Linked DNA regions of Danio rerio. The protein of the gene in region 2 purifies or fractionates together with the protein of the main gene of each other region. This does not show direct contact. Links are inferred from orthologs where the notes say so. Each region holds a gene or a part of one and is shown on either strand. Other genes may lie near its edges.

Region 1 (5,351 bases), on a different chromosome or scaffold from region 2:
TTGGTGTATCTAGCTAATATTACACTTCATGACAACTGTGAGGAGGGTTTTTTAATAACTCATCCATTTAGTTTATATTATATTATATTAAGACTGCATAATTAAGGGGGCCACTTGAGTGACAGCTAGGTCTTGCTTATCGTCGTCACTTCACCACAGCTGATTCCAGCTGATTAGCCGCTGAACTCTGCATATACATCGTATTTTTGTTTTGTTTTATGTGGCTTTACACAGTCAGCTGCTTTTTGGAATTATTTCCAACAATTATCAGTTAATATGGCATACTATGGGCACTTTATTGTGCTCACAAACCTTTCACGTGGCATCCATTTCCCAAGTGAGTGGAATTCTTACTATATATATATATATATATATATATATATATATATATATATATATATATATATATATATATATATATATATATATATATATATACATACACATTATTTTATTTAAATTATAATTTCTATCATTTTCTTTAGAACTGCAATGCACCTCAGAATCTGACAGATTGATTAGCTGTAGGCTGTTTATCATCTTAAACATTGTCATACAGTTTAATGCCTAGATTTCATAAATAGTCTGGCATTTACATTCGCCCTGTAGAAAAACGTCAAGAACAATGCTTAGTGGGTCAATGCATTGAAACTGTTTTTTTTTAAACACTGAACGCTTTATTGATATAGTATACAACCAAGCACATGTGTTCAAAACACAAACGAGTCGCAGGTAATGAAGTATTAAGCGTTTCTCCCAAAGAAAAGCCAGACAAAGGCACCATGTACACTGTCGGGTCTTGATGCCCAATTCCGATTTTTTGCAAATATCCGATTTGTTTGGCTGTCTGTTAATACGTTGTTTTAATTGTGAGCCATATCCAATTCATGCGTTTACACTTGTCAAACAATTTACGATGTCGCGCATGCATAAAAGCGAGATTTAGCATCTGCGTCACACTAGCCACGATGGAAGATATTGTCTTGTTTTTAGCTCTGCGAAATATGTGAAGTGTAGTATAAGCATTGAATGGTTTAGTCCAGATTTACCCCCCATGCAGTTTATGTAATGGTATGGTCCTGATGTGTGTGTGTGTATAATTAACGATGTAGCCTCTGCCCGTGTACGCACTGGTGTTGGAGAGAATAAAGTTGTTCTATGTGTAGCCCGCAGTGCGTGTATTAATAGCGACAAAAAGCAAAAGTTACAAGTTCGCCCAACTTTCAAAAGATTTTGAGGTGGAGGTGGGAAAGGGCCGTCATCGCAGCTTGGGCTAATAGTTTATATGCTTTAATGATGTCCTCCTCCATTCAGAGGAATTTGTGGGTATGAGAGAGGGATCTCAGGTCTGGTGGCGACTGACCACTTTTCTCCTCTGCATTTCCTCTGATGTTGTCTCGTCTAGTTGGAGTGATGGTGCCAGTTGGCCACGCCCACTTGACTTGTAACTTCATTTGCGCTCTTCAGAAACCTATGGGTGACGTCACGGACACTACGTCCATATCTTTTATAATCTATGCTTCAGACAAAATGTTCCTGACCATGCCCACCTTACTGATAGTTTGCTATGAGAGAATGATAAGAAAATAGAAAGCTCCACCCCTACTAATCATCTCTTTTCAGTTGGAACTACATCATCAAACTGAAATTTAGTCAACTTCCGGTTCATGCGGACTTTAATAAATGCTGTTAAATGCAGATATCAAGTCTTACTTGGCGAATAGCGAGTGCTCCGTGTGGGTCGACTGTGAGCTCTGCAAGGTGAACTCCAAACTCTACAAAAACAGGAGCAAAAATATTAGGTCACTTCCTGCGTGAGACCAAAAATAACAATTAGCAAAACAAAACAAAGTAAAAAAAATAAAAAAAAAGTAATTTACAAGCTCTATGCTGATCAACAGAAAGTTGATAGTTTACCCACATATAAAGATTAAAAAGATTTTTAGCTGGAAATGTTCTCAGTGCTTGATGCTTAATAAATGTAAAACCCTAATCAGTGGAACTAAGTAAAAAGAAAAAAGTAAAAAAAAAAAACATACAGGCAAAACAAAATCAATTCTAGTGAGATATTGACTTCTAACAAAGCTAAAGGATTAGATTGTGCATGAGCTAATGAATTTAGCTTAAGAAAATTTTGTTACAGCTCTATATGTTTTTGACCATCAAAAAGTCCTGGTAGATTTGACTAACAATATATGAATAACTAAGGGCCACGGTTTTATCTAAAAATGTTCTTTAACTAAAGTCAACTGCAACTGTTGGACTGTAAATCACAATAAAATTTGCATTTTGGTGTGAACTAAAATGCATTAGATGCAAGTCACACAACACTGCTATCATCATATTTCATCATCCATGGATTTAGTTCAATAAGAGGCTAGTAGCCAACAGACAATGTTACTGCTGACACCAAACACACAGCAGATCCATGAGAGAGGCCACAACCCACTGAACAACTGACTTTCAAGGGTAATTCTGCAATTATGTGCTTTTTTCCTAAACAAAGCATACAGTGTACAGTCCATAGATACACGACTGTTCAAAAGTTTGGAGACGGTGTCATTTTAAGAAGAAATTAACACTTTTATTAATAGAAATTGCATACAAATAATCTATTTTTCAAATCACTTTACTTTAAGCAATTAGATTTGCGGTCCAAAGACACACTTCGCAAAGATTTGGGGTCTATTTGTTATTTTTATTAAGAATGTACTTAATTGTTCAAAAGTAATAGTGAAGGTTTTTTGTATATACCTGTTATAAAACAAAAGGTTTCAAATAAATGTTTAGCTATTTTGACTGTCTTTTATCCACAAAAAATGGCTCATTCCTCCAAACATATTGAACAGCACTGTCTTTAGCATGAGTACTAAAGAGACATGTTTCTCACTTAAAGTCAACATACAAAACACATCCTTATCATTATTAATGCATTCACCTTTTTCCATTACTGATCTCTATATTTATACATTTTATTCCTTTAGTCAACGCTACAGATTCCCAATCAGTGAAAATAAAGAGGATTCTGCTCTTTCTCCCCAAATAAAGATGATGAAACAGCCACAAAACTCCAAGCAATAAAGCAACTTTAAAAATACTGGGTGATGTAACCATCATGATAGTGGGTATTTGGACTTAATATTAACATGGACACTAGAATAATCCTCAAGTGGTCAGCTGTGTTTTGGCATTGTAATTAGAAAGCGAAATAAAAGGATGAAGAGGTCTGCTATGATAAAATATTAATAAAACAGAACATTTAAGGGGTAGTTTATCCAAAATCTAACCACTGACCATATTCTTTCGTGAAACACAAAAATGAATCACCATTCACTTTAATTGTATGGATATTTCTTTACAATAAAATGTTTTTTGAGGCTGTCAGACTGAAAATAGACCAATAAAATATATGTAAAAGTGATATAGTTTTGGAGCAACATAAACATGAGGAAACAGAGTGAGTTGGGCGGGAACAATAACTTGGAAATTGCATTTAGAAAGGCGTTTTTATAACCATAAAGTTAGGAAAACGAGTGCAAAAGTGAAACTAACTTGATGTAGAAGAGCACAGCTAAACTTCACACTCGTATTATTTACCTTATGACTGAACAACCATCAAGTTACAAATGCGGGAACATGTTGAAATCGGCTGCACACTTCGCCTCATAATTCCATTCAATATTTTTAACAATGCATCGTAAGTACATGAATTATAACCACGGCCAAAACACACAACAAAATCAGCATTTGAACTGTGAAACAAAGTCCAGCAAGGTCTGTGTGTTAAATAGTTGTGCTCTTCACATGGTGTCATGCATGTTGTGGCTGCATCTCATGTCAGTTCTTACCCTCCGTCACTTCCAGCACTTTAATGCGCTCCTCCGCCGCCGCTCGCACTTCTTGCACCGGGGACAGAATGGCGTTCAGCGCGTCTATCAGAGTCTCCTTCAATCCTTTGTCCACCTGGTCGAGACTCGAAACCGGGCCGGGGCCCGACGCGCTCATACCCGCCATATTTTCGCCAGTCTTGCCGAGGCTAACGGAGAGATGACCGGGGAGCCGACGGAAGGATGCACAGCGCGCCAATGCACGTTCAGGGAGGGACTATGAAACGATGAAATGTTGCCATTCGAGAATCATTGGCGCTTTCATAACCATAATGGCTCCATCCAGAGGAAAGGAGGCTGAACAGCTACTTTCAACTGCCTTTATGTGCCCCACTTTGTCGCCATCTAACGCTCAATACTCGTGTTTATGCTTTTCCACTTATTCAGTTGCACACAAATGACACCAGAAGTGAATCAGTGTTTGTAGGTGAGAACAAACCATTTTATTCCACAGTTGAATTAACATCGGAAAAGATCTGTTTTAAAGAAAGCCACAGTATACATCACAAAGTATATTTTCACACAGCTTTTTCTTCTGCCTGCTACATCTCTTTTTGTCTGACAACCTACATTAGGATTCTGTACAAACACTTCTAATGCATCAAGCAACAGATCAGAGCAGATCTCAAGCTACTGAAAAATCAGGGTAACCAGCCGCGTTATTGCTGGGATAAATAAATAATATTTTATATTATTAGACACATGTACCAAAACAGTGGGTTCCAAAAATAATTTTAGACCATTTTGATTAGTCCAATTAATATTATTTGGTGTAAATAGCCCAGATCGACAAATTCATGTTAAGAAATTCTCAAGGCGATTGGGGAAAGAAATAAAATAATAAATATGAACAAAAATACATTTTGGGGATGCCGAAGTTCCCCTTTGTTTTGCATTTATGGGATGGAAACCCCTGAGGTACATCTATGCATCACGTTCTCTAGAGAAGGAAAAGAAAAGTGTTATAGAAGGAAATCTTCAAAAATACAAAACAAAAAGCTGAAGAATCATACAGATTTTTTTCTTGTTAACAGTCCTATCAAGAAGGCAGTAGCACCAAGGGAGCGAGGAGGGCGGGATTCAGTAAGAGGATGATATCTGGTGCATTCTTGGTGCTGTAACTTATGTGCAAAACGGGGAGCCTTTTTGACTATCCTTCGAAAAAAACATGATTTTGGTCCTTATTCTGACAAATCGTTTATTGCGCAGCTGACGCAGATGTAGTCCTCGTTTTCGGCCTGCTCAGCAGACACTCCCACACAGACCTGGTGGAACCACTGGTTACAGCTGCCGTCACACTGGACCCAGTTTACCTGAGAGGACGAAGAAAAGTGTGTTAATTATTCATGAGCCTTAAAATAAACCAATTACGCAAGCAAGAATGATGCACTGCTTTAGCAACAAAAACATTTCAGTTGTGCTAGAACTTACCTCGTTTCCTTCTGGCTGCTGGCATCGCTTTGC
Region 2 (6,800 bases):
TTATTTTGGATGTGAATGTTTGTCAATCGTGCCCAAATAGGGTGCTTTTCACACCTTGACATTTTTTACGAAACCGATCTTGTTTGCCCAGTAAGCGTGGTTTGTTTGGCATTTGTAAAACTAGTAATCGGGTCCTGATCTGCCCCGAAACAATTGGTCCGAGACTGCCTGAATGAGGTGTTCTCGGCTTAATTGAACAACTCTGGAGTGGATCAATTGTATTAACCAAAAGATCCAATAAACTAACAAATCAGGCTAAATCCGTGTTTTATGGTTGTGTAATAGCCACATATATGGCTTTACGAAGTAAGGGTGTCACAATCCTCCAAATCCCTGATTCGATTACATTTTCGATTCTAAAGTCACGGTTCGATTCGATTTAAAAAAGAACAATTAAATAATCATAAATGAATAATACAGTAAATGAATAAAAATAAGTTACAAACATAATTGCCATCCGGAAATCACTTTCCGCGAGACTCGTGAATAGGCAGTGATCTGTGTCCTTATAATGGCATCAGTAAAAAAAGGTCCACAACCAACAGGACCAAGCCAACAGTATCTAAGGCGTTCGCTAAAATTACCAAGTACAAGTGTAAAAGTGAAAGATTGAAGCAGTCTACTGACCCGCTGACTGCCTGGACTGCTGTCTTGAGCAGATGACAATGTGTGTGCCTGCCTGTGTGTATGTGGTCACGTGATGTGCGTTTTCAGCGGTAGTGAGGAAGGAGGGCTGCTCAGAAATGCAAGACGTCTGTGTGGATGTGGATCATTATAAAATGCCATTCAGGGCCTACTCACACTATGCCATCCGTACCGTGCCCAGGCCCATTTCACGGATCATTTGAGAAGTGTGAGTGCGCTGAATCGGGCTCAACCACGGTTCACTTGGCCGGCCCTGGCCTGGTTGGAAGAGGTAGGCCTGAGCGCAGTTCACTTGGGCTTTGGCGCGGTACGCTTGTAGTATGAGTGCAAAATGCGCCAAAGCCCGAAACTGAAAGCGAGACGTCTATTAAGTAACTTTTATATGAATTTATTAATCATTCTTACTGTTCAGTGAACACAAACTGCCGTAGGTTATTAAAGACATAAACCCCTCACTGCACCACAGCTACGCTCCTTCAGCAGACCTCCTCATTCCTGCAGCACAAGAGCTTTATGATTATGAGCGCCAAAAGTGGCGGATCTGTTTGGCAAAATATTTGACTCTGGTCACCGCATCCCTAATGACTGTTTGGCGAAATTTGACTGCATATCAAACGACTGAAACAATATAACTAGAGAAATCTCCACTGTGCTGCTGAGTGAGAGCGCTTCTCACTGAATAGCACAGCAGCGATGACGCAAGCCTGCCGAGGCCTGATTGTGGTGTGAGTGCGGGCCATCGGGGGAGACGGGAGAGGGGACAAGCGTGCTTTGGCACGGTTCGAGGCAACTGTACCTAGTGTGAGTATGGCCTTAAAAAACAAGACTTATTAATGTTAAGGGCCTGACTGGATTGGAGGGTGGAGGATCACGATGCCGGTGTTGTCTATCGGCCCAACCCTAATACATAGCAGAGCTTGCAAAGAGTCTTTTTTTCCGACAACACGAACGTTGACAACATAACTTACTGGAAATCCAAAATACTTCCACACCGGCTACTTCATTGAAAGAGGAGAGGGTTTAAGTTCTGTCGACGGGTCTCCTGCATCTGCAGTTCAACAAGAGTGTTTCTTTTTTTTGGGGCTTGGCAACATCGACGATTCCATTTTTTGATTCGATAATCGAAATGGAGCATGAATTTCAATCCAATTAAAATAGAAATTGTGACACCCTTATAACGAAGAGAGAAATACAAGTGGGGATATCATTCCTACCGGCAAATGTGCATTTGATATCAAATACGAAAGTGAAAGCATGCCAAAATATTAATGAGCCGTTTATTCAATAGAAAAGCTGACAAATTACATCTGATCATTTTCTTCATTTTAACTGTACAATTTTTTGCAATAGGCCTATTGTTAAATGTTTTGTTTATTTCTGCACTGACACCTCAAAAGAAAGCTCAAAATTGATCTGCTTCCAACAGGTTTTTAAAAAACATTAATTCAATAAATAGAATTTTACAAAACATGACAACTAAAATGAAGCTATGAGAAAGTCTTACCTCTCTGATTTATATTTGGTGATAATGTGGGCATTAAAATTAAAAGATAGATAGATAGGCGGAAATATATACATCTATCCATCCATCTCCCCCCTCAAATTTAAATACATCACAATTGTATTTCTTTTAACTGTCAGTTGTATTTAAAGAAAAGTTATGATGAAGCAATGTTTTGCTTTTGACATTTAAAATTTGTGGCTAAAAATGAGCTATTAACTTTTTTTTATGGGGCCAGTGAAAATTTTGGCAGGGCAAGTAAAAATCCTAACTACTGGCTTGATTGGGCCAGTAGAAAATTCTTAGCACTGTATAACCCTTTTACAGCTTGAAAAGAAATTAAGATATGGATTTTTTTTTATATCCTATAAAATACATCTCCCACATGTAAAACAGTGATGGTCAATGGGGTAACATTATACAAATGTAATAAATTAAGATCTAAAGGTCTAATTGTTTTTAAAATTTAATATACAGCCACTACTATCAATAAAGCTTCATTTTATGTCATATTACATCTACATTTCAACAGGGCAAATTAATTTTAAAGGAAATCAATCCTGGGTTTAGGAATCAATAGAAAACACTAGAATGCAAGTATGAGGCAAGAAAAACTATCGGGCAGTTTGTGGAGGTTAAAAACTATGAGAAACATCTAATTTAAAACTATACCATTAGGAATAATGGCAATAACTACAATAGCAATGGTAATTTGTGTCAACAAAAGTTTCAATATTATCCAACTATAATAATATTGCTAAAGGGTCAAAATTAGAAGATTCTGCCCTGGTAAGTCTTGACAATATTAAATTATATAAAGCAATGTTGTACAGATTGTTGTAATAGACTATAATACAGAAACTAAAATAACAAAATATAAAACAAACTGGTTAAAGACAATTACACAAATTTAACATCATTTACTAAATAACTACAGTTTATTAGTAATAATAAACAATTATATGTAGTATAGTATGTAGTAAAAAATATCCTTAAATTCAGCATCAAGTGGGTTCTCGCGCTTCAATGCACTCGTTATCAGCAAGGAGTCTGCGAATTCACTAACGTTACGAAACAGTTTAGAAACTTAATGTGATGAACATGTAAACACTCAAACTGGGGCTTTAATTTGTTACCACAGACTGTCGTGCCTTTAAAGTGAAAGTGTAAGTTACCTTAAACTGAACTTGTGGCTCGTTCTCCGCCATCGCTGTACTGTGAGTGTGTGTTGGTCTTTGTGCTGCAGTCACTCTGCGGGAGAGATGGCGGGACGGTTAGTCACATCACACAAAGGCCGCACCAATTCCAAATAAAGGCCACGGGACCACAAGATTACTCAAATAAACCTTTTCGAGCCAATATTAAAAACAAAACCGCTTTTAGAACTTAAAACAAACAAATGTAATGCTCATTGAACAACACGCAGATCTAAATAAGGGGATGCGCGCGAACACACGAGGCCGCTGCCGCTGAAGCCTAAACTTCACAATACAGCGGCCGCCCGAAGGCCTCAAACAGGCCGTCAACATGAAAATCAACAAATAGCGAATTTAGTAGTTTTTAGAAATCCAGAAATTAGTTTAGTTGACAGAACTTAAAACGAAGTAAGTGTTGTTTCCGCGGCTCCAAGATCGCGCGCTACCAACAACTCGGGATGGCGCTACGACAGAGATGAGCCATGATGAAACACTCAAAACTGCACATCTGCGGCCAATAAAACGATCAGACTGACTTACTAGCGCCTGGGCACTGCAGAAAAGCTTTCAGATGTGTTTAGTCGGCGCTGAAAATAAAACGTGTTAGTGAAAAGAGTGTGTGATGAGATGAACGCAGTCGTTCCGCACTCACCGGTGTTGAAGTGATCGAGGAAGAGAGCAAATGGCTGCGCCCGCGCGGGATTCAGCATGGCTCACATAAACGCTTCCGCCCCACCACGTGACCTGCTGCTGCCGCGGGACAACAGCGTCATTTAGTGGCAGAAGAGCGAACCTTTTACAGCATATCACTCAATTTTCTTCGGCTTTAGTTCTTACTTTATCATGAGTGAAGAGCGAATAGATTAAAGGCATAAGTCACCCAAAATGAAAGTTCTGTAGACATTTATTCACTCTTTACTTGTTTCAAAACTAACTAGTTTTCTTTTTTAAATAAAAACCGACATTTTTAAGAAAGCTGGAAATCTGTAACCTTTGAAAGAGATGTGTGCACAATTTCCAAGACAAAATCCTGCCCCAACCAGGCAATGAATCTTCTGCCCGCTGAATAAAACGAGAGATAAAGGTAAGGAGCAGGTTGCCCTCTCAAGTGTCACCTTTGAGGACAGAAACACTGAAGGTAAATACATACAATTGTTACATTATGAAATTCAATTTGCACGTACGTACTAAAATAGTAATACAGCATGTTTTGGTCGATGTGCCCCTCTTTAGATCAAGATTCTTTAATAGATTGTTCTCTGAGTCATGAACTTCAGAAAATTGAGCAGAACGTCCAGCTCCAATTCCATTTCCAGCAAGACATCCAGCTCCAGCAGCCCGTCCAGCTTCAATTCCAGCAGCCTGCCCTTGATGATCAGCAGGTTCAACATCTGGCTCAAGACTTCAACGGTATATTGACCTTTATATGTATTTTGTCAACAATGTTCATGCTATGTTCCAACATCATAATATGTGTTAGCTATCTACCGGTACTTAATGTTTTATAGAAGCCTTTTTTCCTAAATCGAGTTGTGGAGACATGTGAAATAACCCTAAGGAAAGTTGTTCCTAATACATATGGAAATATTCCTTTTTATATGTTCACTAATGATAACTCCAATTACTTTACTTTTTGTAGGTGACATTTTGGGCTGCTATAAAATTGTACAAAAGCTTGGTAAGGGAGGACACGGCACAGTCTTCAAAGCGATTTGCTTGATGGACGGTCTTGAGGAACTACATTTTTACTCACTACATCTTAGCTAAATGTTTCTCTCACTGCCTGTTCAGGTCCTTTTATTGTGTCACGTTACATTGAAAACGTTTAATAAATGTGACTAATTCACCAACATTACAATTGTTGTGTTTTGTTAATCAGGTGGCATTGAAGGTTGTTTTGAAGAGGAACAATATGGATTATCTCAGCATTGTAGTTCTCTTGATTTTTAGTTCAAGATATGTTAATTATAGCCAAAAAAAGAATTTTCAAACATCACTGACAACAAATTTCTATCTTCTACAGCCTGGTCATCCTACTCCCCTTTCATTAGAAGTTGCACTAACAATACTTGCTAACGAAGGATTCCTCAGATCATCCAGATGCTGGAGTGGCAGGAGCTGCCAGACTCTTACATCATGGTTTTGGAGCACCCCTTACCCTGCAAAGACCTTTTTGACTTCCTGGAGCACTATGAAGGAACCCTCAGTGAAGACGTGGCACGGTACATCATGTGGCAGGTAGTGCAGGCTGCCCACATGTGCTGTCAAAGAGGAATCCTCCATCGCGACATTAAATTAGACAACCTGCTAATCAACAAGGACACCTATGAAGTCAAGCTTATTGACTTTGGGTGCGGTGACATCCTAAAAACATCAGCCTGATTCTGTGGTATATTGTCCTTCAAGTCTGTAGTTAAGGACCTAAATTCTAACAAGCAGCTACACCATATTTTGAAAAGCATAAGCTTTCTTACTGTAACTAATAAAGAATATCTTTTTTTCCAGGAAAAGAAATGTACAGCCCTTCTGAGTATCAATCAACAGGCGGATACTACAGCAAATCTGCAACCATTTGGTCACTGAAGATCCTTTTATTTGAACTGCTGTGCAGAAAGCCTCCAGAAAACATTGACCTGGACATGACCCATGCATGGCTGTAGTCAAAATTTGGATTGTCAAATGGTGAGCTTGCCATTCACCACAGCACATTAAGCCAACTGTTAATCTAATTCACACGCTGTAATATTTCAGTACTTTTTCAAGGGTTTTGGACCATCAAATCTTATTGTTTGGATAAGGATTATCAAAGCAAATAGATTTAGGTAATGATCTTAGATAAGAACTCTCCCATCTTTCTCCACAGAGTGCTGCAACCTGGTTCAGCCTTGCCTGCAGAGTAGCTGGATGCCAAATGCCAGACTGATTCGTTTTTTTATTTTTCATTTTGACTACATTTTAGTCTTATAATTTGTGCAAGGACCTTCAAAAAGTCTTTGGTCTAAAACTGCCAAACACTGAGCTGCCATTCTCCATATTCCAAAAGGTTCTTGTGACCACAAAAAGTTCAGCACATCACTTTCAAAGGTTCTCAGTTAGATTAGCATTTTGCTGACTGACATGCCTTGCAAGTTTCCTGCCAAGTAACAAGACATTTATGCCAATACCTATGGTTCCTTTACCCAGCTGCCTCAGTTGCAAATGTTTTGGACAAAGCTGTACTAAAGGGTCCTTCAGTTTCTGTCATTATTCAAAGGAGGGATGTTACCTCAGGCCACAAAATCCGGGGCCTTCTCTTCATGAAACTCTAGCAAAGCATTGTTTCACAACCACCATTGTGTCTGTAATGGCTTGCTGAGAAGAAGCTCCTGCCCTGTCCTCATCCGAGAGATCTGTCAAGACTTACAGATCCTGACAAAAACCTCTTAGGAAAGCTCATCTCCCAATTCCTAACATGCTGT

The links.
Region 1: the proteins of ran (region 2) and ipo9 purify together in Homo sapiens (affinity purification with mass spectrometry; 3 studies listed by BioGRID and IntAct, with this or other methods). This does not show direct contact. The link is inferred for Danio rerio from reciprocal best matches to the Homo sapiens genes RAN and IPO9.

What each region holds. Positions count from the first base shown.
Region 1 is NC_133186.1:26,925,659-26,931,009, reverse strand, and holds the start of ipo9 (importin-9), read right to left. Parts: upstream 4,082-5,351; 5' UTR 4,015-4,081; coding exon 3,849-4,014; intron 1,776-3,848; coding exon 1,714-1,775; intron 1-1,713. Other genes in the region: kdm5ba (lysine (K)-specific demethylase 5Ba), read right to left, coding at 5,069-5,200, 5,319-5,351. UniProt on the Homo sapiens protein: Nuclear transport receptor that mediates nuclear import of proteins, such as histones, proteasome and actin. Serves as receptor for nuclear localization signals (NLS) in cargo substrates.
Region 2 is NC_133189.1:25,977,780-25,984,579, reverse strand, and holds the start of ran (GTP-binding nuclear protein Ran), read right to left. Parts: upstream 4,127-6,800; 5' UTR 3,995-4,126; exon of another isoform or gene 3,398-3,994; 5' UTR 3,355-3,397; coding exon 3,322-3,354; intron 1-3,321. UniProt on the Homo sapiens protein: GTPase involved in nucleocytoplasmic transport, participating both to the import and the export from the nucleus of proteins and RNAs. Switches between a cytoplasmic GDP- and a nuclear GTP-bound state by nucleotide exchange and GTP hydrolysis.